Linked DNA regions of Coturnix japonica. The protein of the gene in region 4 interacts with the protein of the main gene of each other region in a biochemical or structural test. Links are inferred from orthologs where the notes say so. Each region holds a gene or a part of one and is shown on either strand. Other genes may lie near its edges.

Evidence for each region.
Region 1: the proteins of MAPK8IP3 (region 4) and MAPK8 form a complex in vitro, tested with the Homo sapiens proteins (3 studies listed by BioGRID, with this or other methods). The link is inferred for Coturnix japonica from reciprocal best matches to the Homo sapiens genes MAPK8IP3 and MAPK8.
Region 2: the proteins of MAPK8IP3 (region 4) and MAPK9 form a complex in vitro, tested with the Homo sapiens proteins (2 studies listed by BioGRID). The link is inferred for Coturnix japonica from reciprocal best matches to the Homo sapiens genes MAPK8IP3 and MAPK9.
Region 3: the proteins of MAPK8IP3 (region 4) and MAPK10 form a complex in vitro, tested with the Homo sapiens proteins (3 studies listed by BioGRID, with this or other methods). The link is inferred for Coturnix japonica from reciprocal best matches to the Homo sapiens genes MAPK8IP3 and MAPK10.

The regions. Positions count from the first base shown.
Region 1 is NC_029521.1:15,696,545-15,703,776, reverse strand, and holds part of MAPK8 (mitogen-activated protein kinase 8), read right to left. Parts: intron 5,929-7,232; 5' UTR 5,884-5,928; coding exon 5,762-5,883; intron 3,720-5,761; coding exon 3,590-3,719; intron 2,401-3,589; coding exon 2,342-2,400; intron 2,220-2,341; coding exon 2,081-2,219; intron 1-2,080. UniProt on the Homo sapiens protein: Serine/threonine-protein kinase involved in various processes such as cell proliferation, differentiation, migration, transformation and programmed cell death.
Region 2 is NC_029528.1:4,148,465-4,155,696, forward strand, and holds part of MAPK9 (mitogen-activated protein kinase 9), read right to left. Parts: intron 4,378-7,232; coding exon 4,248-4,377; intron 3,135-4,247; coding exon 3,076-3,134; intron 2,619-3,075; coding exon 2,480-2,618; intron 938-2,479; coding exon 772-937; intron 1-771. UniProt on the Homo sapiens protein: Serine/threonine-protein kinase involved in various processes such as cell proliferation, differentiation, migration, transformation and programmed cell death.
Region 3 is NC_029519.1:40,962,379-40,970,270, reverse strand, and holds the start of MAPK10 (mitogen-activated protein kinase 10), read left to right. Parts: upstream 1-3,357; 5' UTR 3,358-3,727; coding exon 3,728-3,730; intron 3,731-4,310; exon of another isoform or gene 4,311-4,415; intron 4,416-7,892. UniProt on the Homo sapiens protein: Serine/threonine-protein kinase involved in various processes such as neuronal proliferation, differentiation, migration and programmed cell death.
Region 4 is NC_029529.1:12,371,873-12,379,647, reverse strand, and holds the start of MAPK8IP3 (C-Jun-amino-terminal kinase-interacting protein 3), read right to left. Parts: upstream 5,059-7,775; 5' UTR 4,941-5,058; intron 3,557-4,940; 5' UTR 3,545-3,556; intron 266-3,544; 5' UTR 264-265; coding exon 208-263; intron 1-207.

The DNA.
Region 1 (7,232 bases), on a different chromosome or scaffold from region 4:
GAAACTACCTGTAGCAAAGAATGCTTAAAATATTTAAGGACACTAAAGAAGTGCATGGAAATTACTACCTGAAATGTTTCAAGGGCAGCCACAGCAGTGCAGACTGTGATAAGGAATAAGAAGTTTCAAGAAATTCGCTTGATGTATGTACTCAGGATAGTGCTGCTGAAATCTCAGAAGAGAGCCATAAGAAGTTATTACTGAAGCCACACTTTCCTCATGCCCATTTCCAAGCATGTCTTCTTTGCTTTCTGAGATTTCATTCAACTTGTTCCACAGAAAGAATTTTGACACATCACACCTTAAAATTTAAAGGAGTAACACAAAGAGCTTCACTGCACGCAGTGAAGCTTCAAGCAGTCAGACAGCAAGCTGCCAAATGAAAGTCTACCAAGAAGACATGCAATTGAAATGTCCTTCAAAATCATTCATGCATACTATTTACATAGCTCTCGTATCTATAGACAATCTCATTGGAATGGGCTACCTCTAAACTCTGTATTAATGCACAACCTGAAGTACTTCAGAACTCCACCCATATTTACAAAGGCAAGAAATGTATCCTTGAAGCTGCCCTCACTGCTATGCAGCAGCCTATGAAGTAGGAGAAAAGAAGCAAATGTACAAATGTTTCCGTTTATTACTGGTTTCTACGTGCTCAGTGATTCAGTGCCTACCTTACAGGAGCACAAACTGTCCTTGAAGCAATGCCTGCACTAGCACTTACTGCCTGCCTGCACAGACCCACAGAAAGAGACTCATTGTCCATTCTAGCACATCTATAAGCATGTGCAGGGTAGAAAGGGCAGGGTGTAACAGCTGGGTGGTGCTTCTGCCTATTATCCTTTCCCCAGCTCTTTCACACACACAGTCATACGAGGGCAAACTGTATGTGTAAAGGAAGCCTTCACCTTCCCTCCCTGAGCACTTAACTAGAGTGAGGCAGCAAGTGTGTACTGGAATCAGCTGAGCAAAAATGTTCTGCCATTTACATTCTGTTTGCTATTCACACAATACCCCGGTTCTCTTAAATGAGAAACAGTAGACTGAAAGGGAGTGTCATACTGCCAGTTCTAGCTTGCAGTCCATTCCACAATGAGGTAGACTACTGAAATTGACAAGCACCGCTGCACAGTAATGCAGTTGTAGCATTCAGAATTGATGTTCATGATTTTGCTGTGTACATCATCCTTGAGGAATACTACACAGTACTGGCTGAAAGTACTGCACAAATGTAGCTTTAATTAGTTTTTTTCCTGCATCATTTCTCTCTATGATAAATCAATAAATAAATAGAAATCAGCCAAGAACATAACACTGCAAAAATACAAGTTTACAGTTTCTCAAAATTACAGAAAGCACACTGGAAAAGTTATAACTAGGCAACCTCAAGAAATCTTCACACTATACATAAATATATAAGATGTTCAACTTGAATAGGCAATCTTAAATTCAGAATGTCCTCACTGGATTTAACACATACAAGCCATTAGAAAAGTAACTGTCATTTTTGCCTGCGGGCAACCTGAAGGAATGCTTTGTGACACACAGGTGTATGAAAGCCCCACTCACAGGTCTTTATCATGACCTGTTTGTCTGGAGACTTCAAATACTTATTTTCTACTCTATTAGTAAAGGAGCTGAAATAAATTGGGCAGTTCTTTCAAAAGATGGAATTTCAGGTTTGGTTACCAAAACAACAAAGGTGGAGGTGATTTCAGATTTCTTGTCACAACTACTAAAATTGAGCACGATATAGAATTAGAGAAGGTAATGCAACTCACTGTTAAAATCATTTTATTTTTTTCACCCTGTGCGGATTATTTTCAAACAAACCCAGAAAAACATCCAAGAGGTTCATTCCAGAATTACAGAGGAACAAAGTAAGCCTGATGATTTCCTTTCAGCTTTCTCTCCCTGTCTATGGCATAGGCTACAGAGCACTATTTGAATACACATTTCTGATTTTTTTTGTGGCTCATTTACATAGAATCAGAAGATCATTTAGGTTGGAGAAGGACTCTAAGATAAACAAGACAAAACTTGATGCAATGAAAAAGTAACACAGAAATTCACTTACCCTATGTATAATTCCAGCTGAGTGAAGATGTTTGATACCACAGAGCATCTGATAAAGGAGATAGGACATTCGCTCATGGTCTAGCTCCATCTGAATCACCTGGCACAGGTTGGCATCCATCAGCTCCATTACTATGTAGCTTATAAAGAGAAAAAAAACAATCAGATTGCACTGCCAGTTTACTGTGTTCTTTACCTTGTTCATCTTTCCATGTTAATATTTTTAAAGTTAATTCACAGCTTTAGTTCAAATCAAACTTACACATCCTGAAATTCTTCCAGTGACTTCTGTGGTGTAAATACATTTAATAAACTAATTATCTATAAAGAAAAAGAGAGGAAGTATAATCACATCACAGCAATAGCAAAATTGCAAATCAACATTTCAAAACTGATATGTGTCATCCCGATGCAATCTTCCTGGTATTCACTGAAGCACCAGATGCTCAGTGTCAACTATGCCTAACATGCTGTAATAGATGCTAATGATTTTGTGAGAAGTATTCTTCCTCCAAAAATTGGACAACCTAAAAACATTTTGTGTGGATTAAAAGATATCACTAAAGTTTAAAACCTGAAGAAATTAGTCAGTCTTTCCTTGCTCCCTACTTTAAATTTAAGGAAATTTCATTAAGATTCTTATTCTGTATGATGAAAAATTAAATGAAAAAGCAACAAGAAAACCTACTAAAGAGATACCACTTTGCCACAGACAGAGGTGAAGCAAGAAATTGATCCAAAGACAAAAAATAGTAATTTTATAGTATTTTCCAGTTGCTAATCATGGATGGAATATATAGCAACAGTCAAGATATTACTCATCAAGAGTCAAGCAGGGTTGCAATAGTTTATAATCACACAAATCACACAACTGGGGAAATTTTCCTTAAGAGAATCTACATATAAACCTAAAAGCCAGGAAGAATTTTATCTTGCTGAAGGTAGATTGGAAAGGTGATAAAGATGGCATACAGCTGTCATTTAAGACAGAAAATGGCCAATACAAGCCTTCTGTAGTCCAAATCCTATACATCTATCATTTTTTCTCTCCCAGTATCTCTAGTCAGCTCTGCTTCACAGCTTCTCATGCATCAGACAATTTCTGCTGTCACAACATAAGATTCCTAACTCATTCATGCATTACAAAATAAAGAAATAAATAAAAACTATTGCAGGCTTTTTCCTCCTACTTGTTTAGCAGCAGAAACAGAAACAAGAATGCAATTACCACTCAGAGCATTCTCATTTGCCAGCTGTCTGTAAAATGAAGCAACATAACACCGTCTCCCTTCCTGAGTCTGAAGGAGGAGTTTGGAGACTGGACAGGTATTAACACTAGCCTGCAACAGCTCTTCTCAGATCCTTTTTTACTTAACACGGACATACGGGCATGTTCTGAATACCATTATAATCCATAAATGATGTCATCTCTGGAATGGTCATTAATATGCTCACAAAGAACAACCACACAGTTGATCTTTCAGTATTTGAAGCAGAACACTCCGCTTACATTTTTGTGATTAACGCACTTCATAAGAACAAGCTCTCTGTAAGCTCTTTTAGCATGGGTTTGATTCTGAAATGGTCGGCTTAGTTTCTTGATTGCAACGTTTCGCTCAAGGATGGCATCATAGGCTGCACTGTAAACAAAAATAACATTATTTCATATCAGTATTACAATCAGTTAAGCTCAGTCATTTTCCACTTTTCCAGATACCATGTATTAAGTCTGAACATAAACAAAGCTTCCAGTATTAATCAGCTTTGGGGAAGGTACCAGCAAGGTGTTCATGTATGCTATGCAATGCAAAATTCTGAAAGATTTTCCCAGATTCATAGTCCTACCACATAGCAATCACCACTAAAAACTGCAGAACCTCTGTTTCCTACAACATCTGCCGAAAGGTACTGATCTCTTGCCACTCATTAGCACTGAAGAGCAGACAGCCTAAAAAGATCCAAAACGCTTTAAACATAAAACCCACATTAATTTTACATATAATTTTCTACTGAAAGATAGGGAGAAGAAGAGAGGAAAAGTAGGTTATACATAGGCCCCATGCTCTCATTTATTATGCAGGATGCAGCTGTTTAATATCCTTACAACAAGAGCACTAACATCAAGATAAAAGAAAAACAAAACAACAACAAATAATAATAATAAAAAAGCTAGGACAGCCCTAACATCTTGATGTCTTCAAGGAAGAATAAAATTCTGTTTCCAGATAGTTGCCAAGATCGTTATATGATTCAGTAACACAAGCTGCTGAAACGATGAGGACTGTTAGTTGGGACAACTTCTATACGTATTTCCATGACAGAAAGGCAGGGATTTTGTTTTCTGCAAGAAGTAATACAGCAGCTGACTACTGTGCAGACTCAGGAAATATTTGTCAGCTAGTAAAAAAGCCTCAGCAGGGAAAAATACCATTTTATTGTCTCTTGCTGAGAATGGTATACAAAACTAATGAAGAACATCTGCCAAAAATGGCCAGCATTTACCAAACATAATTGGAAATATGTTGTCTATACAGTATGTAGGCTTGAATGATTTTTTTTGAGCATCATGTAACTGTTCAGTCACAAGAGGAAAAGAATAAATAAATTGGAAGAACACATACAGATAACTTTTTGTTTGTTTATATTTCCTCTATCTACCTGTAAGATATTCCATATCTTATGAGAGAGAAGCAAAGAGGAGATAAGGCAAAAATGATGAACTTCTAAATCTGCAGTACATAAACATAGCCTTAGAGTCTGTTTCAGTGCTGAGCCTTTCAGTCATCTACTTCAAAACTACTTCAGCAACAGGACTAGTGGGGATGGCCTCAAGTTGCACCAGGGGAGATTCAGGTTGGATGTTAGGAGAAACTTTGAAGCAGTGGTTAGGAGCTGGAATGGGCTGCCCAGGGACGTGGTGGAGTCACTATCCCTGGAGGCATTCAAGGAATATTTAGATGTTGTACTGAGGGACATAGTTTAGTGAGAAATATTGGTTGATAGGTGGATGGCTGGATTGGATGGCCTTAGAGGCCTTTTCCAGCCTCAGTGATTCTATGATTCTATATTCTTCCAAATTAGGCTGAATTAGTGGAAATGAAAAAACAAAGAAACCAAAAACCGACTCAACCCAAATCACAAGAATTATATACTATCTCCTTCAGAAATGGTCAAAATATAACCATATGAGTGCTCTGGTTCATTTCAGGACAATCAGAGTGGCTTAACTGAAACAATTTCATTTACCATAAGCACAATTTGCATATTACACTGATAGTCTGCATTGCAAGTGCTCACTAACTGGTGTAAGACACTTCTATAGAACTAAGTGAAACAGGTCTCTAGCAAACTATTTTAAGAAGAAAAAGCAAGTAGAAGCATCAAATATAAAGAGTTATTTTTGCTTTTGTTTCACATGGAGCAGCGTGGCTTAGGATCAGGATTAGTTCCTTTATCCAGGTTTTTCCCCATTAATTTATGGGACTCAGCACACCTAAATGAATTTACACAGAAGGGCTCCAGTTCTGAAGCAGGAAGGGATGTAGGTTAAAATAAACAAAACGCACTGTGAGTGACTAATGATCACCAACACTGTTTTTCATGTAATGTATAATTGTAAAGGCACTCCAAAAATTCTATTAACAGAACCTAAAAGCATATTTATACTTTAAAGAAACCTTACCATACTATTCCTTGTGCTCCTGATCCTATTGGTTTTAAGTTTTGATACCGTTTCAATACAGTGAACGTAGAATCCCCAATTTCAACACTGTAGAAATTGTTGTCACGCTTGCTTCTGCTCATGACGGCAACTTATGTAGAATGCTTCATCCAAATTCTGTTCCCAGCCTGTAAAGAATTAAAGAAAATTAAGATATTACAACTGTATTTAATACAACTAAAGAAAAAATCCCCATAATGTATGGAAGGTGGTTCTCACAGAAGGCCCATATGCTGTTTTTTTCACACCTGCAGGAACGAGACGATGTGTCTGAAAAGTTTTGGTTTTAGCAATGTGCCTCAGACAGGAATCTAGAATGGAAAAATATTAAATGATTGGTGGCAAAAATCTTACATGGCAGTGAATGGAAAATCAAATGGTTGGTTATGTCATCCACAGAGCGTTGCTGAGGTTACAGTGTAGTCTTATATTGGCTGAAGCAGAGAAAGAACTCAAATCACCCCAGATCAATAGGTAGGACAAAAAAAAAAAAAAAAAAAAATTAAAAAAATGCTATCAATAGAACAATGACAGCCATACGGATGAGAGATTAAAAGAGGAATGAAAGAGAAGTACCCTGAAGTGGAGAAGCAGGAGCACCTCCGCTTGCATCTGAATTATCATTCCTTCTTTTGCAACTCCTTGTGCTGTACATCAAAAAACCATCAGACTTTGTTGTTTCAGCATGGGGTATAGTTTATCACTTCAGCTAAAATGCACTCTCTTCTAGCATAAAACTGACTGACTTGAGAAGAGTCAGCTCTCAGAAAAACCATTTATTGCGAATTTTTTTATGGCAAGCCAAGGTGAGAGATGCAAGTCAGTCACTGGGAGGCAATGAGGAAGCATTCAGGTCAGCAATGAGAAGTCTCAGAACCTAGGTAATGCTTTCCTCTGCCTCCTTTTCACCTGGCCATTACAGCTTCCCAAGTCTGAATCAACTGGCACCTACTCCATCTGTGCCCCTGCCTCCAAGTTTCATCATTTCTACACCACTGAGAATTTAAGCCTCTCAACCTTTTAAGCAAACTCAATTCCACCAAGTCTTTGCCCCCACTCAGCTCAACCTCCCTTGTGCCCACCACTCATGGAAAGTACCCTCAGAAAGTGCCTGGTAGTGCCCAGCTCTGCAAATACAGCTCCTAGAAGAAAGTCTAAAGGTTTCACTTCTTCCCATCCTCTAATTGACTCACGTCTAGTCTTATGAAGTCTAGCTTCAAAGAACCACAACACCAAAAGTTTTAGTCCTTAAATATTAAAGTAGTTCTAAATGCAGAAACTGGCAGAATTTCAAGATTCTTACGCAAAGTATCCCCACAGTATTTTTCATTAAAACACAATTAAGCTATATCAGATAATCATGCCTGCCTGAAATTTGACGTTTTGTTCCACTTTCTAGCAATTCTGGGGAATCATATATGTGAAGAAAGAC
Region 2 (7,232 bases), on a different chromosome or scaffold from region 4:
CATTTTTCAGTGGCTCAGCAAGGTCCTGCAAGTCCCTTGTATCACACAGCTAAAGTATCCCCAAGCCCCAGTGAATAACCGAAAAGATGTACTAGGTTAGAAGACCAGAGGAGGCAGAATGTTACTTCACAGCCAGTAAATACCAGCAAGTAAAACAGTAATGTGGGTCAAGGACAGTTTCCTTGCCAGTAGTTTTGTTGGCTGAATGTTCAATATATAAAGCCTTTGTAAATATAGTACAACACCCAGCCTCTTTAAGTGCTATTTATATAGATTTAGGGGAATAAACTACATGGTTTATGGGAGAATCTGAAATAGATCTTTAATGAAGTCATCACAGACACTGGGGGGACAGACTTAGAGTATGCTTCACAGTAAAAATCACAATGATAAAAAGGTTTATTATTTTACACACTGATCATCGGTTAGTTGGTTTTCTAAAACATCATGCAGCATAGGTTTCTCATAGATTGGTATATAGGTAGGATAAAGAAAAATGCAATAGGACAACAAAGGAAAAGGTAAGACAGCAGGGAAGCAGGAACAGAACATGCTAAATGGAGATATGGATACGGTAGAAAACTCTTATTCTCCACAAAATACTTATTGTGCATTTTATTTTTATGTTTTAATAATCTCCAGTAATGTGATTAGCATTAAGAATAGACACAGCAGAGGGAAATTAGCTCTGTCCCAGCCTTTTAAAGCTATTATGTTTGGAGACACATATGCTTTAGACAAACAATTTAAAGCATCACTCCAGTAACTTACCATTCTCTTTATATCCCATTCCAAGGATAACCTCTGGCGCTCTGTAATATCGTGTTACTACATATGGAGTCATCATAAAATTAGTACACGCCGTTCTTGCCAGTCCAAAATCAAGGATTTTGAGTGTACAATCTGATTTTACTACTATGTTGCTGGGTTTCAAATCCTAATAAGAAATTACTGCAGTTAAGGAAGGATCTACACACTGAATGATACACCCCCCCCCCCCCCCCGAAGTCAATAACATCACCAGTTTACCCCATGACAGCACTTTTACATTCGTTTGCATTCACAAGAATTTGAATTACAGATGCATATTTGGACTCTGCTCAAGTAACTGATGTAGTTTCAACCACATGAATTATGCTTTCAGGTGCAGAACTTCCTTTTCTTAAGGGAGGCAGGAACATGCAAATAGGAAAGCAACCAATTTTTGCAGAATGGCATTGAATCAGCTTGCTTGCAGTTTCTAATCTTCCTCACAGACTTTTCTCTTGAAATAACTGAATAATTATTTACAGTAGTTGGCAGTGAAATTTGTTATCTCATCTTGTTATAATGCTGGGCCATGTGAAGCATATCAGATTTCAATATTCATCTATTAATAACAGAGGTTGGTGTCACATACATTATTTCAAGCTCTGTTTAGTCACAGACCCTTTAAGTCATCCCCAGACATATTCCTTTGAGCTATCCAAGTTCTGTCCCTTTCCTAGCCTGGCTTCTCTCCAAAATCCGATCTCTCATCTAATCCAGAGTTTCCACTCAAGGTCTGGACAGGTCTTTTTGCTCTGGTCCCAGACTAACACAACACAATCCACTTTAGCCTCTCTATTTAAATAAACTTCCTGCCTTTGTTTGGCTATTCACAGTTTGGTTAGTTTGGTTTCACCAATGTCCCATTTTCATGTCTGACCAGCATCAGTTCTGTCCAACTGCTCTGTTAGCTCCAACAGGCTCAAATTTCTCAGCAAACATTTTGTCTCCCCCTTAGCTCCAAATCGCAGCCAACAAGTCAGGTGGAGTCCAGCCGGAATTCCAGCCCTCCCCTTCAGTCTCTTACACGTTAACTATAAACAACAGTAGATTTTTCAGCAAGGCAGAGATTTGTTGCAATTTATACAGGCTCTCCATTATGTTTATGGATTGAAAGTGAAGAAAAAAAAGCACGTTAGACTAGAAGCTGACCGAATTTTTCAACTCCCAGGGAGAAGAGATTTAAAAGGTGTATCCTGGAAATAGGGGGAAAAAAGAACTGGAAAGGAACAAAAAAACCCAAGCATGACTGTCAAGCAGAATGACTGGTCATGGAAAATACAAAGAGCAGCTGCAGAAAACCAGAATCAGTTGCATGAAGTATGCTCAGGACTTTAAAGTTCTGAACAACCATTTGGTAATATAACTTGTAAAAGTCAAATATTAAATTGGAAAGACTCATTCTTTAATAAATTGGAAGGTACACAGTTGCTCATATTTTATGAGTTTATCAGTTCAGCATCACTTAAATCCACAGAACTGATTTAATCTGTTTTAAGATCTGTTAACAATGCATTGGTCTTCATCTTCAAATCTGAAAACCTCCACGTACAGTCATAGTATGAACAAAAGAACTATAAACATTCAGAACAGCAATTCCCTGCCTACCCCTCAGGTTCCTAAGAACATCTGTGTTCATAAAGAATATCAGTAACGATCTAATACTACCTACTCTGTGGATGATACCAGCTGAGTGGAGATGTTTGATACCACATAGCATCTGGTAAAGGAGATAAGACATTCTTTCATGATCCAATTCCATATGAATAACTTGGCACAAGTTGGCATCCATCAGCTCCATAACCAAATATCTGAAGCAGAAGAAAACATTCATAAACCATAAGAACAATAAGAATGCTTAAGATTTTAAGGAAATATCATTCATTAACACCATTTCAAAATTAGAGTCAATCACTGGAATCACCACCCACATTATATCTGGCTGTCAAGTTATTATCCTTAAGTGACCCATTTAAAAGAAGACAATGCACACAAAGCAGATGCAGGTGAAATCAGCAAAGTATCATAGATAGATAAACAAATGGATAGGAGGCAAATAACAACTTCCCACTTCCATTTGATGGTAGTAGCAAAACAACTTTATTTCTCAATTTATTTCAGAAGTGCCAAGAAAGACTGACCAAAGCTCAGACTTAGGCTTTAGTTACCCCCTACTTTCAGCACAAAGACAGTGAGATAGCAGAGATGCACAGCTATGGCTTAGTTCAATATTTGTCAGGAAAATTAAAACAAAAATCTACTACTTACACATCCTGAAATTCTTCCAGTGACTTCTGTGGTGTAAATACATTTAATAAACTAATTATCTATAAAGAAAAAAGAAGTTTCAGCTTTAATTCAAGTAAAAATCCAATCACTACAGAAATTATTATTCAAATCCAATTGCATACCAGGACTAACCACAATTTAACATTACTTGGTTTCACTTAACTCACTCACACTGAAGAACTGTTGTTTCAGATACAGTTGAAAACTGCAGCACATGTGCTGAAGGGACTAAGATAGGGCACAAGCTTTTTTTTCCCCTCTACGTTATTTAACACCCATATCCTTCTTCAGTACCTGAAATGTGTTCCTTTTTCCCCGCATGAACAATAATCTCTTATTTTAGAACATGTACTGGGCAAGAAATTTTAACTAAACAAGAGCAAAGGTGACGCCCCATTCAATTTACATTGTTTCTAAAAGAACTGCTACCATTACTATGTTGCCATCCTTAATTACAACCTTGCCTTTATTCTGCTACTTCTGGGCTTCACCAAAAGCATATTTCAGCAGTTATAGAAGATTACTTGACTCAGGGAACTTTGACACTCGAGTACAAAACTTTCACCATCATCACTGTTCCCAGTTTATATTGGCACCACAATGCAACACACTGTGATCCTTATATTCTTGTACTCGCATGTTTAATTACATCAAGTAGAAGGCTCGATAACCTTGCATGCATGTATGGTATGTCGGCATTTCAATTGTGTTTACTGGTCAAGCTGCACCAATATACCTTCCAAATCCACCAGGCAAATATTATATTTAATAAAAATCTTGCATAAACTCAGGAAATATAACTACAGAGCAGCTAGAAGAGCCAAGCCCACAACCAAACTCAGTGCCAAACAGGGCTTGCTGCAGTTGGATGTAAAAAGGCAGATGCACTACAGCAAAACCATCTCTAAAGTCCACACTGATGGTAAACCCATAGTGATGCTGCAACAAGAGCCTCCTGTTCTGGGCACTTCATCCTCCAAACAGCTCAACCGAGAGCTGAACCTCACATTGTAAAACCCACTGCAAATTTTTCTGGTTTCTCTCACCATTTTTTTTTTTTCTGCTACTTTGGTTAAACATTTGCAAGAAAGCAAATCTTGAGCTTTTGAGATATGAGAGAACGAGAGAGGGAAACACAAAGGCAGACTTACATTTTTGTGATTGACACATTTTAAAAGAACAAGCTCTCTGTAAGCTCTCTTTGCGTGGGTTTGATTCTGAAAAGGACGACTCAACTTCTTTACAGCAACGTTTATTCCAAGGACTGTATCGAACGCAGCACTGCAAGTTGTCAAAGACAAACAGCTTAAGTTGAAGTCTGCTTGGGGGAGAGGCGAGGGAAGAGGGGAGATGGGAACAAGGAAAGAAATGAAGATTTGAGGAAATAAATACCAACTAAGCTGCTTACACTAACTTCATTTCACATTTAGAAAAAAACACATTAAAAGAGAACCCGAACATCCCTTAAAAAACAAAGGCAGGCTGAGCAGAAGCCACTAACATTCTTAAGAAAAGCCTTCTGTGCCCTCCCCCAAGTAAGACAGAATCTGCTGACTTGAGACTTCTGTTCAAAACTGAGAGATCTAAAAATACGTTAAGCACGTTTTTAAGTAATATTTCAGCTGCCTGTATATTTCCAGCTTAGTCTGTACACTTGGGAACTCTTCTGGGCACTGTTGCTGACTGACATTCATTTAACATTTGCAGTATTCATTGATCTTTCCTAAAGAACAATCACAACAACTGATCTGCCCTGCAGGCGTCAGTGCTCTCATATGGATGTGGATAGTTTACAACTCAAAGCAATTTCAGTGCTTCCCAGAAAATTAATTGTCTGGTTTTAGCAAGAACAAAAATGAATATGGAAGATTTACACATTGTAGGGAGAAATGCAGCAACTTAAAAATGAAAATGACCATTAATTAGGTAGTTTTTCCAATTGTTCTTTCCTTCTGTAGTTGAAGGCACAGTTGCAAACACTTTAAAAACAGTAAGAATCTAAGGCTAAATTACGTGTATATCCAGAACAGGACTAAGGTTGGAATATTCCTCATTATTAACACACAGGGAATTTGACAAAATACCTGCAAATGCATACCAGGAACAACACAGAGTTCCAATCTATTACCTCTCTAACTTTAAATAAGGATTGCCACATTATTTCCATGTAATGCTACTTTCATTTGGTAGGAAAGAATTCTCACTCATGTCTTTTCCAAAGCTGCCACTCTGTGACCTCCTTCCCCACCTCATCAGGACGCAGACAGCACCAGATGTGAAGGACCACCGTATTACAGCACTATTACAAGAGGTGCAGCTCATCTCCAGCAGCAATACTCAAACTGTATTAAGTTTACCAACATCAAATCACTGCCTTCCCTACTGGAAAAGGTACCACCAGCATCTGGCAGGGTTCACACACAAGGTGCTGTTATCTGGGAGTTCAGTGCCCACATTTGAGCCACCACACTGTTTTCATTAAAGGCTTGCTAGTTTTCATTTCGACTCAGTTCTGTGACACACACAAGTTATTACTCACAGTGATACAATCACTCTCAGATTTAAAGCTTTTTTATTTAGCTATTCAAAACAAAACACAAAATGGGAGGAAGGGAACCAGTGAGAAACTGTTTTCCTCCCAGATATGAAAGATGAAAGCGCTCGTGTTTCCAATATTTCATCAAGAAGAAATTTCATGTACAATTTTATGTATATTAATGGCTTTAACAGCACCTTGGTATTAGCAAACAACCAGTAACCAACAGGGTCCACACTAAACAGCTGCTCAAGCCAGTCATGAGCAGCAAGCCCACTGCAACAGTGGGACAGACAGTTCAGGGAAGAAATCCCTTTGCAATCTGCAAAACCAGGTATGTGTCACAACTCCATCCCAGCACACACAAACAACTTCACCTCTACCTTCCTTTTTTTTTCTCCTTATCCACACGACAGTGACTGACATTGAGTCTCCATAAAGAATCTGTATTTGGTAGCTCTGAAGAACCTCCACATCTCTCCTCCCACCCGAAAGCAACACCAACCTGATCACAGTGAATTCTATTAAAGTCTTCAGAGCACTTTTAAAAGTTTGCATCTTGAGCCAGCTTTTAATAATAGGAGTAAAGATGCCACGTGCCCAATGAACTTATAAACATCTTGACCTAAATTACAGCGAGAAATTGTGCTCCAGTTCTGCAGGCAAAGGACTTTTGCCTTGAACTGCAACATGCTCCTGCTGTGGATTCCTGCTTCACCAGCTCTGCTTCACTCACTCTTTCCCCACTGCCCAAACACAGGTTTCCAAACAGCAACAAACTCCTGACTGTTTTCTTCAAGTGCAACTGTTATAGACAGCACAAACTCACATGAGTTTCTAAGATCACAGTTTTGCTATCTTGAAGGACAGAATAACTTCGTTGGGACAGAAAAATCAGGTTGACTATTTAACCATCTGAAATCCAGGGCAAGAAAGGAAAAATCAATATCAAGCCTCAAACAAAAATTCTTTCAACAAAATCATTTTGTACAAGCAGTTACTCATTGATAAATAGATTCTAAGGTTTTGAGCATGCTAGAACATAAGAAGTGTGAGTAGTCACGTATAGAAGCACACTTTGTATATGAAATACACAAATAAACTCTACATAAAACAAGCAAGTTCCTTTTTCATTTTCTAGAGTTCTCATTTTGTATTTCATTTACGCAACACACAAATAACAGTAAGATTTTCCTAGCCAAAAATGACAGGATGGCACTCATCCTATGGTGAGATTTCTGCACTGTGTACCCTTACATTTTGCATACTTCCCCTGGGTATTTTAGGGACTTTTACAGAGAAATTTAGATTTTGCACCTTCTTCAACTTGGACATAATGTTCAGATGTTTCACATGAAGAATTTATGCAATGTTTTATTCTGTTGTTCCAAAAATCAAGTTTTCTCAAAACAAGTCAATAAATCAGATCATCCCTTTCTCCACCCAAGACACTGACCTTAGCACTACCCCAACTGTTTTGAAGCAACGCCTCGTTTAAGCCATGTCATTCAGAAATGCACTGCTTCCAATGAAAGAAGCAACTACAACCACTCTTAATCCTTACATACAATCTAGAACAAGCATATCATCAAGAATATTT
Region 3 (7,892 bases), on a different chromosome or scaffold from region 4:
TCATTTGGGAGAATGAGAGAGCTATGGAAATGAAGTGCAAGGACTGATTGTACTAAATTAAATTAATTGTGTGCTGTCAGTCCTGACATGGTATCATCTCAGTTTTAGTTGGAGTGCTTTGACTTCCTCATGGGAGCAGTGGCTTGCTAGTGTGCAAGACATGTGAAACTGGGGATCTCTACGTGTAAAACATGTTCTGGTAAGTGTGAGAAACATCAATGAGTTGACTGAGCTGTGATCTAAGAAGCAACTTGAATAAAAGGAACATCTCCCATGCGAATAATTTTCCAACAAAGGTGCTTTTAAGAAAAGGCAGCGCATTGGAGGACTTAAAAGTTTTCAAGGAACAGATTTCAGTAGGAAAGAAGGCTGAGCTGTCAGTAGGACGCTGAGATCAATGCAGCTTACCAAGTCTGGATGTTTCTTTTCTTGTTTCCATAGGTCAGAGCAACTTCAAAGAAAGCCCAGAGAACTTTTTTGGCTCAAGATTCACAAATCTTCACAAATCCTGACTTCTGGAATGTGTTACGTAGCTGGGGCTTTTACTGTCCATCACAGTCAAGGCAGAAAACTATATTCTTTCAAATTGTATATTTGGAGCACAACTTACTAAAATAATAAATATTTATACAACAAATAATACCTTCAGGCAGGCTGGATGCCATCTGTCAGAGTTGGATTTAATCTTAAGGTTGAGGCATGGTGAGCTGCCATGTAGAAATGTTCACAGAAGTTATCAGTGAGTGTGTCATGGTTTTCAGGTGAAGTTATGTGTGGCAGATATTGACAGCGTATTCATGTAGTGTATGGAGCTGGTGCTCGCATGGGGAAAGGAGTGAATTTGTTTGTTTTCTTCATGGAACAAGTTTAAATTCTGTTTAGTGCTCCAGTGTGCTGGGATCATTTACTACTGAATCCTTGGTATGTCTTATTTAGCTCTGCAGGGTAAACCAAGCATTAAACAATGGTCTTCAGAAGAGCCACTATATGTAGGAAGTGGCAGTTTTAAAAACTAAATGATATGTGAGCAGGCTTCTCTTTTCATCTTCATAGGGCAACTGGGATACTAAAAACATCTGCAGTAAGTTTAAAACTATATCTGTTCTTTTTGGTGTGTGTTCCCCTGCTAGAATTTTAGAGGTCATACAGTCCTTGACAGTGGACTGAATAATGAAGGTGTGCTTGTCTCAAAAACAGCAGTGCTATTGTGTGCTGAAGTACTGTTCTTGGTATCTGTGTAGATAAATCACTGCTAAAATAATTTTCACTAAAAACGCAGCAATTGAATTTACAAATAGCATTGTCATACCCTTTAAGAATCTCCTGTTCTTCCAGTTCATGTATGCTCTAAGTTATTCATTGCTCTTTCCTTTTGTTGTATGCAGTACTTAACAGTATAGTTTCTTTGTCCAGTACTGTATACCTGCACCCCTCTAGTGGTATTTGTTGGCTTCAGGTCAGGACTTCTTTTTTTTCCTAATTGCAGTGAATATGAACACGTTGGAATCCTTCTCATTTATCTATTTGCTAGCATATCTCTCCCATGTCAAGTACTGTCTTCTTGCTGCTTAATGTAGTATAGACTTATGCAACATATGATACTGATTTACATAGATAGTAAGGAGCTCTTTTGACTTGAACAGTGTTTTCAGTTCTTTATCACACAGAAGCCATTTATCATCTTGTAAAGTAATAATTTTCTTAAAGTGGCCTAGTCTAGCAGCTGTATTCCTGCCTGTCCCCAGTTACTCTCTTAGCTCCTTGTGTAATGGTCATGAGGAAAAGGCAATAGCTTTTAAAGGCATTTTGATGATGGTAAGCACAAAATCAAAGACGATTCTTTCTTTTGGCTGAGGTTAAGTCTAGACCAGCCTTCATTAGTAATTATTTTACAGAATGAGATAAAATAAAATTAACAAAGGAATTTGAAAGTCTTGTATTTTACTGAAGCTGGCTGGGAAGTTCCATGCAATAGAGTCACACTGCAGACAGCTCATAGGTGCGCACAAAAAAATGTTGATATCTTGTTGATACCGTGTTTGGCTCTGGCTATGATAAAACCTGTGGAGTATTTGAACTGCTGGCAGGAAGGCTGCAGTGGGTTTCTTGGAGCTGTACTTGCCCCATGTGATTGTATGAAATTTTATTTCTAAGAAGATGAGCATTCCAGCAGGATAGAATTTCCCCTTTTCTCCCAGGAGTATCCTAACAGAGGTCTACGAAGGTAATGAAAGTTCTGGAGTGTAAGACATGTGACTGAGGCCCCTGGGTTGTCTCAGCCTGGAACAGAGGAGCTGAGGGAAGGCCTTGTGACAGCCTACAACTCCTCACAGAGAGCAGAGGGACAGCACTGAGCTCTGATTTCCAGTGACAGCAACAGAACTGGATGGAACAGCATGGAGCTGTGTCGGGAAGGGTCAGATTGAGGGTTAGGAACAGGTACTTTGCCAGAAGATTGTGGGCATGGAACAGACTCCCTGGGGTAGTGGTCACAGCCTCAGGTTGATGGAGTTCAAGGAGCTTCTGGACAACGCTCCCAGACACAGGGTCTGATTTTGGGTGGTTCTTTATGGAGCTAAGATTTGGACTCGGTGTTCCTTATGGGTCCCTTCCAACTCGGGGCATTCTGTGATAGTATTGCTGACTTGCACTTATCCCATTCTAAAGCTTGTTCCAGTGCAGAAAGTGTTACTGGTTGTACTTCACTTGCTGTTAAATGTCAAAAGAGTTTTCTCCTGCAGTTTAATGTGCACAGAGGAAATGTACTCTTCCTAGCTGTTAACCTGAGGAGGTCAGTAGTCATCACCAGTCCTTCAGATATCTCAAAGCATGGTGTTAATATGAGTCATGGGGCCCACAAGGAGTGACATGTTGTAGGTCTGGAGATGTGGAGAGTACCAATAGGAAGGGACAGATCTGTGGCTGTTCCTTGGGTTTCCAAGGGATTCTGTTTTTAGAAGCTGCATTGCTACCTGCGTCTGGCAATAGCAGTATGGATGGCTGCATTGGTGGCTGTGAATATTTGTTGCGAGCTCTTTTTCTTGTAGAGCACAGAACATAAATTAATTTCAGATATTCTGGTTTGTTTTGTTGTGTTCTTTTTTTTTTTTTTGGAGTGTGATGGACATCTATCCCTGTGTGTACAGCAGCTGATGCAAACAACAAAGCACATCTGCACTGAGCAATACTGCTATTGCTGCTCCTTCCTACACTGACCGGTGCTGCAGCCTCCCCCTGCAGTCCACTCTGTCCTGGTTCCCCATGAGGTACTGGAGCTGTGTCTGCAGATCCCATTTCTCCCTGCTCCCCCTTTCCCCCCCCTGCAGACCTCTGCGCTTTGACGTCATGTGCGCTCCTGCCCGTTGCTATGGCAGCCCCATTCCCCATCGCTCCGCCTGTCTCCTCCGGTCCTTCCACAATGGTACAGCCAGCATCAGCTGCACAATGGTTCCCAGGCAGTGACAGAGCGTGATTCAGCAACCAACCTCCTCTTTTATTCCACTATCATCAGACATTTTGCCTCCCCTTTTTCTTTTCTCCTCCATTCTCTTTTATGTAATTATTTAAAGGAGAACGTCGGATCCAGCTGCCCACCATTTTATTTTTCTTTAGATTATTTTTATAAGAAGCTCATCTCTTCCTTGGCACCATTTGGAATGTGGCTTAACAATACCACCTGACGTGCAGCTGGGGGAAGGTGGCTGGACAAGGACAGAGGCAGCACGGAATGGTAGGTACCTGACACTGGTGGTACCTGTGATACCACCAGTGGTACAAGACTGACCTGCTCTTGTGGGGTGGGGTGATAGATGCTGAGTGTTGCTTTAGTAATGGGGGAAGCAGGAGGCAGGTCAATGGAGCAAATGGTGAACTGGAGTGGGATGGCTGCAGCCCTAGATACTGTGGCTGAGAACCATTGTGTTCCTGTGGTTGGGTCTGTATAAGTGTGTGTTTGGTTGTTTTGGTGGTTTGTGAGAGCGGTGCACATCATGGATGGGGTGACAGTGCTTCGCCAGCTGGCTCATGTAAACAGTTGTGGTTTGCTCAGCCTCATCACTGCCTGGGGGCTTTGGGAGGTGCACAATTCAGCAGCAAGGAGTACATGATGGGAGCTGTATTGTCCATGCAGAGCCATATAAAATGAGAATCAGTGAAAGAAGAGAAGGTGATGCTAAGCAAATGGAAAACTGGAGGACGTGGGTTAGTGGGCATGGTGTGGGGATAGGTCAGTAGTTGAGCATGATGATCTGAGAGGTCTTTCCCAACCTTAATGGTTCTATGATTTTTATGACATATATCTTGGCCTTCAGGAAAGTGGCTGAAATGAAGAGAGAAAGGGAAAAAGGTGCTGGTGGGAAGGATCTGAAAAGCTGTGCTGAGTGCGGTGGTATCCTGTAAGCAAGTAGTTGTCCAAGGTAACCACTGGTCTTCTGCATGACTGCCCCAGTATAAGTGAATGGAAAAGCTGACTGCGTCTGATGGCACCATGTGAGCTTTGGGAGAGGTGTTTACAGCACGCTGCAGGGCAGCTGCTCTGCAAAAGAGCTCAACACTTGCTGAATGCTGCAGTGAAATTGGTGCTGCTTTGCAGGGAGATATTTTGGCAGAAAAGCTCTTACTATAAGAAGAAATATCAGTAGTTTTTCTTCTACAGAGGGACCTAAGAAGGAACAAAACAAATGCTATTTGCCTAACGAAGTGTTTGTGTTGTGCTCCCAGTGACCCACACTGGGCATGTTCCGTGGCGTTTGTGTCTTCAATGGCTTTCAGCTCTTTACATGGGCTCCTTTTGCTGCATAGCTGCATGGTATATTCACTGCAGCCTTTCCCCCCTGTGATGTGCTCTGTGTGATTTTGGCAAAGATCTGTTTAAAGACAAACTAACTGTCCTTGAAAATGCAGATTTTTTTTTTTTTTGGGGGGGGGAGGGGGAAAAGAATAATAGCATAAAGTTTTTTCTTTTAAAAGAGAAAAATGTAAATACCCAGGAGGAGCCTGGAATCAGGTTGTTGGACACAGAGGATGTAAGACCAGCTTCAGAAGAAGGAAAAGGTTGAGATGGAATGAGATGGCCTTGCTTCTGCACAGGGCTCTTATCTTTGCCCACACATAATCTTGCTTTGGTTTTTGTGCCCTGGAGAGGTTCTCCAAACCTCAGATCTTTAACCCTATTTCAGAATGTTGCTCTGTAGCCACCAGCCAGGAACGCATCAGAGCAGTATTTTCTTCCATATACCCCTGCTGTGTGCTCACTGTCTTGATGCTAGGAAAGGTGGCAAGGAAATACCTTTCAACTGGCTGAACTGGCTTTCTCCTGGGGGGAGCAGATGTGAATGACAAAGGTGATTTGACCTCAGCCATTAAACCATATTCCTTCTCCTGACCCTCAGTGAGCTGCGTGCTCACACAGTGCTCCATCCTGCTGCTCCAGAGCATGCAGAATTAATCACAGTCCTGGTGTAATTGTTACTGTATTGAGCAATATTAGGATTGCAAACATGTTTCTAAATGGGTTAAGGGCAAAAATCACTTGATGTGAAAACCTGGTTGATTTCTGTTGCCTGTCTGCCTTGTTGGTGCTAGCAAATGTTCTGTTGTTGGAAATGTGTGCACTTAAGGAGCTTTTTGAGAGCAGATTTTGGGGATGTGTGGGTTTTTGTTATTTTTAATTATCATTGTTTGTTTTTAATTATTATGATTATTTTGTTGTTGTCAGTCATTGACATGTTTATAGCCATTTAGAGACTTAATAGTAATTAATCAGTTGTTATAAGGCAAAAAAATCTTCCAGTAGTGTAACAGTATTAAATTTGACTCTAGAAAACAAAGAGGCAGCCATCAAAATGTCCCTACCATTGTGTTTGGAAATGTCACAAAGCTCTCCCACAGTTTGCTGTCCATTGCACAACTCGTGCAGGAGAGGGGTGGGGGGGAAGAAGCAGGCTGAAATGAATGGGATGTTGGCATTGCTCTTTAAGATATCATATTTGTATTGAGATTTGGAAAGTAGAAAAGCTGCACTTGCATCCCCAGCTTTGAAATTTGCTGTCTCTTAAACTCTTATGATCTATAAAGCTGGGTCAGTTCTTGGGATAGTTCTTGATAACAGAAGAAATCAGTGTGTTGATAAGCATTTGGAACAAAGTAAAGTCTGTTGTGTGTGTTGTTGATTTTCTTGTTTTTGTTTGCTTATGGTGAGCATTCTTCTGTCCATAGACCCTCTAATTCCATCTTGGGTTTATAACACCACTACTAGAAATTAGAACCTGAAGGCCTAATAATTGCAATGCTACCATAGTTGCTGCTCAGTTTTGTCATCAGGCTTCTCTGAACCCCAATACTGAACAGCTTTGCTTCCAGCATCACTGTTCTGCTGCCTTGTCACTGATTCTGTGAAACAGTGGTTTGAATGGGGCCACCTGCAAGAAAAATTAACCCTAATGAAGGGCAGCAGCTTGGAGGAGAAATGTTGCTTTTGCTATGAGCTTCTTTCTTGCAGCACCATCTGCATAGACAGACATAGGAACATGTCTTTCAGACAAACAAAAAAGCTTTTGTACTCAAGTAATGGCATTGGTCTAAAACTGAAAGCAATGTGTAACTTTGTTGGTGTACAATGTGAGGTAGTAGATTGGTTTTCTTTTCTCTTTCTCAGTGATAATGAGATGCAAGGGTAGATCCAAAGCAAGATTGAGCGTGGTACAGGATTTTACATCACAGTGTGTAGAAACTGAACAGTCCTTAAGCTGAATTGTTGTATTTCCCTTTTAGCCTGATGCACCTGCTTTTGTTAGCCATTGTGAAGGGCACTTTTGACTGTTTTTAATATAGAAGGACAGGAAGCTCAGCTCCTAATACTTCTTAGTCTATTTTGTTTATTCATTAAACAGCGATTGTTTGATTTCTTTTTAACTTTGCACATGAACATACTGGTGGCAGTAGAGTGTTCTCACCTTCGTGTTGAGGGAAGGGAAGGTCATTAACTTTCATTTATCTCTGGATTAAGTCTGGAGAATAGGACAGAACCAGAGCCTCTTTTAGAAAAACAAAGAGCAGTTTTACTTCTACACTGAGGTTCTTTTCCTGTCCAGGACCATGAACATCTTATGACTTCATGACTACAGGCTCTTGCTTGCATCACAGTGAGGCTATGGAAAATTTAGGGTAGTTCCAGCTTCTGGAACAGCTGCCAACTTTTTGCATTGTAATAAACACTGAAAGCCGAAGGCTCTGAAGAGCAAAATTCTGGTTTCCATCAATAGCTGTTTCAGCAGGATTTCACAACAGTGGGTCAGGTAACTTGGGGGACTGTGAATTACAATTCAGGGAGCTGGGGAGTTTGCAGTTTGGATGTGAAGTGCTGTGGTCTCTCTCTGATAAAGCAATCGATTTAACATATAGATTTTTGTTTACGTTCCATGACTTCCAAGATACAGTTCACTTTTGTTTGGAGTTATTTGAAGACATTACAGAACAATGCTAAGAAAATGTTGCCCAGACTTTAGTGATGATCAATGATGAATGCAGCTGCCTTCTGCTTAACGCTTAACACCTATTTGTATGCTTGGGGTTCTGTTCAGTAGTTGGACACCAGAGTGGTATGCAATTGTTCCTCTTCTTAGTTGCTATTTACTCCCAGAGCTTCTTACATTTGCTGCTTACCCCTTTTCTTCAGTTTGCATATAAGTACAGCTGCTTCATCGTTTGAAGATGTTTGGTTGTGGCGGTGTTTTTGAAGAGCATCACGATTTCATAGACAACAGCAATCCAAGGCCTTTCCTTATGCCTCGGTGTATCAACATTTCATGAAGTATTTCTGTTGCCAACTTGTGATCACAAGTCAAATTTCAGTGTAATCCCTGGGTATGATTAATAGATGCCTGTGTGTAAAT
Region 4 (7,775 bases):
TTTAAAATGAGCACCTTCCCATCACACCCAGTTCCATTAGGAAAATTGCTCAGGAGAGGATTTTCTCATCTACATTTCAAAGCATAACAAGTGTTCAAGAGAGCCTGCCAGATACACCAGAAAGCCACAGTGAGGCTGGAGTTCTAGCCACAACCTTCTTTGTGATGGTACCTCACTTATATAACCAGGCACACAACAGTTTCTTACTTGGTCTCCAGTAGCTGTGAGTTCTCCAACAGCAGATTGCCAACTTCTTTGCCCATTCCTGAAAAAAACAAAAAAAAAAGGTCAAGCAGTTTTCATCTGTTTCATCTGACTCATGCTTGGGAAAGAGAAATCATTTTTGTTAGGCTTCCCTACAGCCAGCTTCATCCACTTTAAAGGCTTCCTATTACCAGCCTTCCACTGTGGCAATATGAAAAGGACTTCAGATCGTCCAATGCTCGACTATTCACCTTGAGCAGTTCTCTCACAGGGATTCACAGTTTGAAGTCTCAGGCCCATGACTTAAGGACCACTCCCAAAAGAGCAGATCAGACATACTGCACATTGGGCAAGAATGCACAGAGGAGAGGCTGCAGCACACAGGTCAGGCTGCAAAACTCTGTAAGATTTGGAGCTAAGTGTAGAGACTGAATTTAGTAAAAACGAACTGAAAGGAATTTAGGACCAAAACCACAAGTGGAGCGCTCCCTGCTGCCGGGGACCTGCAGGATCCCAGGATCTGCTTCTATTTTACACATAGATACAGAGGCTACCTGTTGTTTTAAGGGACAGTGCTGAGTGCTGCAGCTTGCTTCTCAATACAAGCCCCGGGGCACAAAAAGGCATCACAACCATCAGTGTTTGTGCTGTAGTGTTCCTCATCCTGCCCTCTGAACTACCTTATCCCTTTACAGCAAAGGCATCAATATTTTCCACAATTGTTATTTGCTGATTAATATTCACAATGAAATAAAACCAAAATAAACTGTAAGTTAATGGAAGTTAGAGAAACATGACAGCATACAAGAAGTGAGAACGTATCACAACACTCCAACAAAACAAATCCTCTTCCCACAGTTAGATGGCATGAAGTTATGATGGCAAAAGCAAATTCCCAGCAGGAAGGAATAAGAAGCAGCATTTCAAGTTGTTCTTTGGTTCCTTTTTCAATCGGTAGAAAGAGAATCAATCACTTTGATGTTTCAGGCAGGTTTCTCAGTGTGTCAAGGAATACTGCAAACAAAAACCAAAGTGTACTTCTGGCTGGGTAAGGATGAGCTATAACCCTTTTCTCCCACAGCACATGCACTGTTTCTAAAATCCAGAGGTCACACAATACAGACACGTGTTTATTAAATATTTCTCTGGTTCCTTTCGGATGATTCTACAAATGATCAAATAAATATTTAACAAGTGAGGCATTAAAATGGCACTAAGATGATATTAAAAAAGACACTGTGAGTGCTGGCATCCTCGTGCTTGGTTTTTTTGTTGGCGGTGGGACGGTCAATAACAGTTTTCCTTCTCATCCCTGAGTAAGGTGAGTCTGCCTCTGGGAGAGAAAGGAACTCTGGTACAGAGGGTCAGTTGTTACCCCAGAACTACCTAATTAGTGTGTGACCCAGCCCCAGCCTGATGCTTTAACCAGTGGGAGGTCTGAAGGGCCGGTCTTGCAATGAAGAAATGGATGACGCCATCCTGCAGCCATAGAGTGAGACACTATGAGATAATCTCACACAAGCTGTAATGACAAAGCCCCACTCATGGAGATAGAAAAAAAGTGACTAAAAGGAAAATTCTTTACTCCTTACGGTGTGGGACAAAGGAGAGAGCCACACATCACTGTGCACCTCCCACAGCCAGGCAAATAGTATGAAGCATCAAAGTGGATAATCAAGGGAAGGAAAATCCCCAAATCACAACTGTGGACCAGCTGCATCCTGCTTCTTGGAGAGGTGAGACCACCATCACAAAAAGGAAAAGCAAAACATAAACCCACAAACCAATGTAATGCAAGACACATGGAGGGGATATTGAGTGAATGGAAGAAATTGTAAAAGAAAAAAAGAAGCGTGGTTAAAAGAGGAAAAAAAAGAAAGAAAAAAAGAAAAAAGGCCTTGGCCTTACCAAAGAAATCATCCCGTACTATGAGAGCCATCCCACACGAGAAAGGGAACAGAAAGATAGGGGGACAAAGGGGGAAAAAGGAAGAGAAAAAAGCAGCCATTAAGTACCAATCTGTAAATAGCAAACAGAGCAGCTCATCAGCATGTGTAAACGCATGTGGTGCCAGTATAGGTGATGCTCAGCATAAACTAACATACACCTTGTTCAGCTGCAGCCTGGCCTGGTAGGGATTTATGCCTGAGAGTTCAGGACAAGCTGAAGACGAGTTCATCTTTTTCTTCCACCTTCATCACTTACCCTGGACTAAATATCTCTGTGCATTCCAACCCCACCACAATGGCAAGTCAACAGACATGATGAACAGGGTGAAGGAAGGGCAGGAGAAAAAACAAAACGGGAGGGATATCAGAGCTGTTATCTGGCCTTCCCTGCACAGATCCAAATCCACTTTGCTACTGAGATAAATTCCAGTGCCACTTCAGAGGGGGAGTCTCTGAGAAAAGACCACCCAAAAATGGCCTACAGTGACAGCCCAAACAATCTGAACTAAGAGAGAAGATGATGCCGTTCCTTCCTCCCTTTTGTGACCTTACAGACCCAACATCAGGAGGTTCCGTGCAGAGGAATGTGACAGAGCTCAGCACTGCACAATTATGCCACAGATTTTGTACCGTATCAGCCCAAGTCGCCTGTCCTTATTACAGGTGAAACTTCATCCAGTTTGCACTGAAATCAACAGCGATTTCCTTGATTTCATCTAATTATTTTTTTTATCAGTACCCAAATGCATTTTACAGAGAGGTGAAAATTCTGCAATTTAGGCCTGCTGACCTTCGTATGGGACAAAAGGCAACAGAGGCGGCACTTCAAACTCCTACTGAAAAGACAAAACAAACAAAAAAAGGCCTGTGGTTCTGCCACTCTCTTCCCTACAGAAAAGTCTTTCTTTTCACTGCAGCTGTGGGTCAGGATGCATTAAGAAACTCATAGTGAGCATCATGCAAGCAGAGGGACTCCTCACAGTCTTGTTTACTTGAAGAACAGGAGTGAACTATGTAAATCCTGTGCTCAGCTGAGCTCAGCGCAGAGCACAGCGCCTGCCCTAAAACGAGGCACTTTGCACCCCAAAGCAAAGGAAAGGCACAGCGTGGTTTTCTCAAGACCTTGAGACGGGCCAGTGTCAAAACCTGCAGAAAGCTACACAAAAAGCGGATCAAAACACAGCAGACACGTGAACACCAAGCAGGAATAGCCTCCTGCCCAGGAACCCGCCAGTGCAAGGAACCAAGCAAGGCAAAGGTGGGAGAAAGTCAGCAAAGCCAACCGTGATTGGACAAGAGCAGGGGAGTATCACACGTGTATACCATATCATTGAGTCTCAACGAGGTAAAAACAAACAAGAAAGGAAACTGAGCAGAGCAGAGATACACACCTGAGAACTCCCCTATGGGCCATGTCCAGCGAAGCACAGAGAGACAAGGGAAAAAAGGAAGTGAAAAAAAGGATCGATCAGTGACTGAAACCAACAAAACTAAAATTTTGTTTCAAAAAAAAAAGAATTAACAATGATTCAGCCATTTCAGTGTCAAAAGGCATGAAATAGTAAGGACGGGAACTGCCACGACTCTACATACAGGACAAAAAAACCAAGGAGAGGGAACCCCTGTTAGAACTGCAGCCACACGCCTCAGCCACCCCCAGCCTTCCAGACACGAGTCTCAGACAGTCGCATCTCAGCCTGGATAAACCTTTCTTTTCTCAGTCACACAGCACTAAGCGCAGAACGGCCAGTTTCCACTGCCTTCTTGTTCCCCTCCCTTTGTGATCATTCTCCTGTTAGCAGACAGATCTGCTGAAATTAAACGTGCACTTCAGCCACATTTCAGCATGCAAAGGACAGCTGCATTTTACAACATTTTTTTTTTCCAACAGCAGCGCCAGGGCTCAGTCTGATAATTTCATTTAAACTTCTGTATAGAAAAACATCATTTATATACATGAACTTACCACTAACGTAACAACTGCTGTTTTCACCATAAAACACCCATTAATGAAGTAGATTTTAATCTCCAAAGCAAACACAGGAGGCCACCCTAACACTGAAAAAAAGGACTTCGCAGGGCCCATTACCCAACTGTTAGTCCTACCCTATGTCCAGAGTAAAGGGATAATGAAGACCAGGAAAGGAGATATGAGAGAAAGGGGGAACAACCCACAAGCAGCTGGGACTGCTACACTTTCACAGCTTTATCAGACTGCTACCTGACACAAAGCTGCTTCTCTGACTGCTTCAAAGTCCTCATTGGGAACATAGAACATAATCAGACTTCAGATACAAGAAGCTCCTTCAATATCAGCCTAAAAGGAGAATGCAAAACTCTCTTGGATGACTAAGAAGGTAAAAACTGCAGTGAAATCTATGATGTTTCCATACGAGAACGACAATTGTTCCCCTTAAACTTAAAGAAATCTTAACAAAAGGGTTTTTTTCTTGCAAACTTCCAAGAAAAGCTCTATTCCAAGTGAAGCTGCCAGAATGCAGAATTACTGGCGTGAAGATTTGTGGGAGGAGGGGAAGAAGCAATCTTCAAACAAAGGAAAATAACTTACAGACACAAAGACAGCCCAAATACACAGCCATTAACTCAAGCTGTTGGGTAAGAATTACTGCTGTAGGTGCATATTTCAGTCACAGTGTATCCCAAATTCCATGCCATTTTCTAAAGGTCAAACATCCAAGTTCGGAAAAAGAGTGAATCTAAACGCTTCTAGAAGCCTAACGGAGCTGTCTTGCTCAGAGAAAACAGAACAGTCCCAACAAATTTTACCTAGCAGATCTGCTCCTTCATCAACATCTCCGATCACCTCGGATCCTGCTGTGGAAAGTTCATGATAGAGGGAGTCTGTGTTGATGCCAAACGCTTTGTTCACAATCCCTGGGTTGGGCTGTGGTTGGAAGAAAGAAAGGCAAGGATTCTTCTTACTTGGTGATGTTTAAGCCAGAACATAACTCTGAAATACTGAGCATCACAGACCAGTACAGTCAAAACTCTGAGAGTGGATTCTGCCACGGGTTGACTGAGGGAATTCAGTAAGTAAAGGAAAAAGAATGTTTTATTCCCCATACCATGTACCAATACCTACCTTGCATGACCTCAGCCTTGCCTCGCTGATGCCTTTTCAAATAGCTGATAACTACTCAAAAATTCATAGAAAACCTTCCACTGGCAGTCCTAAGGCTGTGCAGTGATGCCTACACTCCCACCAACTTCAACAGCAACCCTCACAGCAGTAAGATCAGATAAGGACTCAAATGCTGTGAACAGCCCTGGATTTCTTTTTTCCTGTCTCAGAGCAGCCTGGGCCACTCACACAGATCCTTCCATATTACTGATATGTGCCTTCCCTGGAGATCTCAAAGGCTGCCAGCACCTCATTTTTGCATTAGGCAGAATTTATGCATTTTCTGAAACAGCTGCATCTTGAGCTCTGGACCACAATATCCACCCTTCACAAAAACAAGACAGAGGGCCAAGAGCAGAAAGTCACAACCAATACCTGTTACCAGGGCGCTCCAGGCGGGGATCCTGACACATATCCAGCTCAGGAGTAGAGTCTATGATGTCCTGAACATCGGACCACTCGTCACTGCTTCCCATACCTACGTAGACAACACATGATCTATGGCAACAGTGCTCCTTAAAGGCATTTCTGCAGCTGCAAATAGCACAGCTTGACAATGTCATGGTGCTGCATATAGTTAAAATTTCACTTTGAAACTGCACAGTTCAGTGCATGAAATCTAACCTGGTTTCTGTATAATCTGTAGCCTAAGACCAATATTTGAGGAAGAAAATAAGGGACTCCCCCTTTTGCCAACTTACATGTATTAGAAACATTTGAAAGCTGAGGCAAGCAACATAAACACAATGTCTGTTTGCATAGAGAATTCCCGAAGGATTAAGGATGTCACCTGTGTACTACATTAGCCCCTTTAATGTGTTAGAGGTGACATTTTTGTCCTTTCCAAGCTGCCCCAGAAGTAAAATCTACAAAGCCCATGAGAACAAGAGCGTTCATTGCTTGGTTGAGGCTGGCACTGTGGGCAAGCAATAATAAAATACAGAACTGGACTCAGCTGTGAGTCTTTTTATTCAAATGCTACACTAGAGGATGTTGCACGTTGTTTTATAGTCTCAACCTGTTAGGAAACAGCTGGTGAACGTTAGCACAGGAATTTCCTCTGTATTACACAGAAAAGGTTCTGGTTCTGATGCTACCTCAGAAACCTGTATTCATAAACATGCTCCAGCTCCCATACCTATGCTGACATTTCCTCATCTCCTGCGTGACCTGGACTTCCATGTTCCGGCTGTTCCGCTTTTCTCGTGTCCTCTTGTTGCTCTTGGTTGTGCCATTGTATTCGCTGATGGGTTGGATGCTCTCATTCAGGGGTGTGACAGCAGCAGAGGGCACAGATGATGTGGGAGTGTTGGACTTGGTTCCAGTGGTGCTCGGCGTGGTAGCTGCTGAGGACTGCCCAGATTCAGACATTTCATCTTGGGGACATTATGGCAATTCCAGGGTAGGGAAAGAATAAAAAGGGAAAAGCAGAGCTATATATTTCAGTTAAATCTCCGGTTTGTTGGTATATGGCTGCCTTAAAGCATTAAGCAAAATGAGCCTTGCTCACTGCACTGACTAAATGCCCAGCGTCACTGGAGACACGTGGCACTGCAACCAGAATGCAGCAGTGAGTTCCATGCTGAACTCAGCAAGCAAATCCTACCTGTGAAAGGATTGACATCCTTCTTCTCTTACTATGAAGAGTTATCTTCACAAGCCACATCATTATGCGACCTCTTCATCATGCACCTCAAGGAAGAAGGTCTTTCATAAGTGAAAAGCACCTCCAATTGCCACTGACTACAGCAGAAGCTGAAGGGCTTTGGCACTCGCAGTAAGCCAGGACAGCATTTCCAAGACTGGAAGGTAACACGGACATTGCTTGGGAAAGATGCGAGCTCTTAGAGGATCCAGAAGCTGCCATTACAGTAAGCCACTGACATAACAAGAATGAGAATCCCCTGCGTTGAGAGAACAGCAGCGTATTTCTTACACCAAGCTGCAGAAGCAAAGCAGATAACAAACTGATGGTCGATTTTGCTAGTGGGGAAGCCCTATGTCCCCGCATGATGTTACACAGAAGCTTGCCAAGCATGGGTCTGGCTTGACAGCACAGAGAAACAGGTGTGGTCTCCCCAAATTGATAAGGCAAGACCCAGAAACTCAAAAATAAGAAGCTGACAAATTAACGAAGGCAACAGACTTCCATTGTGAAATGTGCATGAGTGAGTCTCAGCTTTACAGACATTACAGCCCCATTTCTTGTATTAACACCTCTTGAAAAACATGGGAGACTTGTAAGGCTTTGTGAGGATTTTACACTGCAGCCCTTGTTTGTCAATTAAAGCAGCGCTGCTTCAAAGTCAGCCAATTAATGTCTTGACCGATGCAGTAATCATCCCCAGTACCAAATGAGATCTCTCCTTTCTTCACGGCAGCCCACTCTAATTGCTGCCAGCAGGGAGATGGCAAAATGAATTTGGAGAGTTCTATGTGCTGATGACTTGCAATTGGGTGCAGTGACGCTCAGCAGCCGC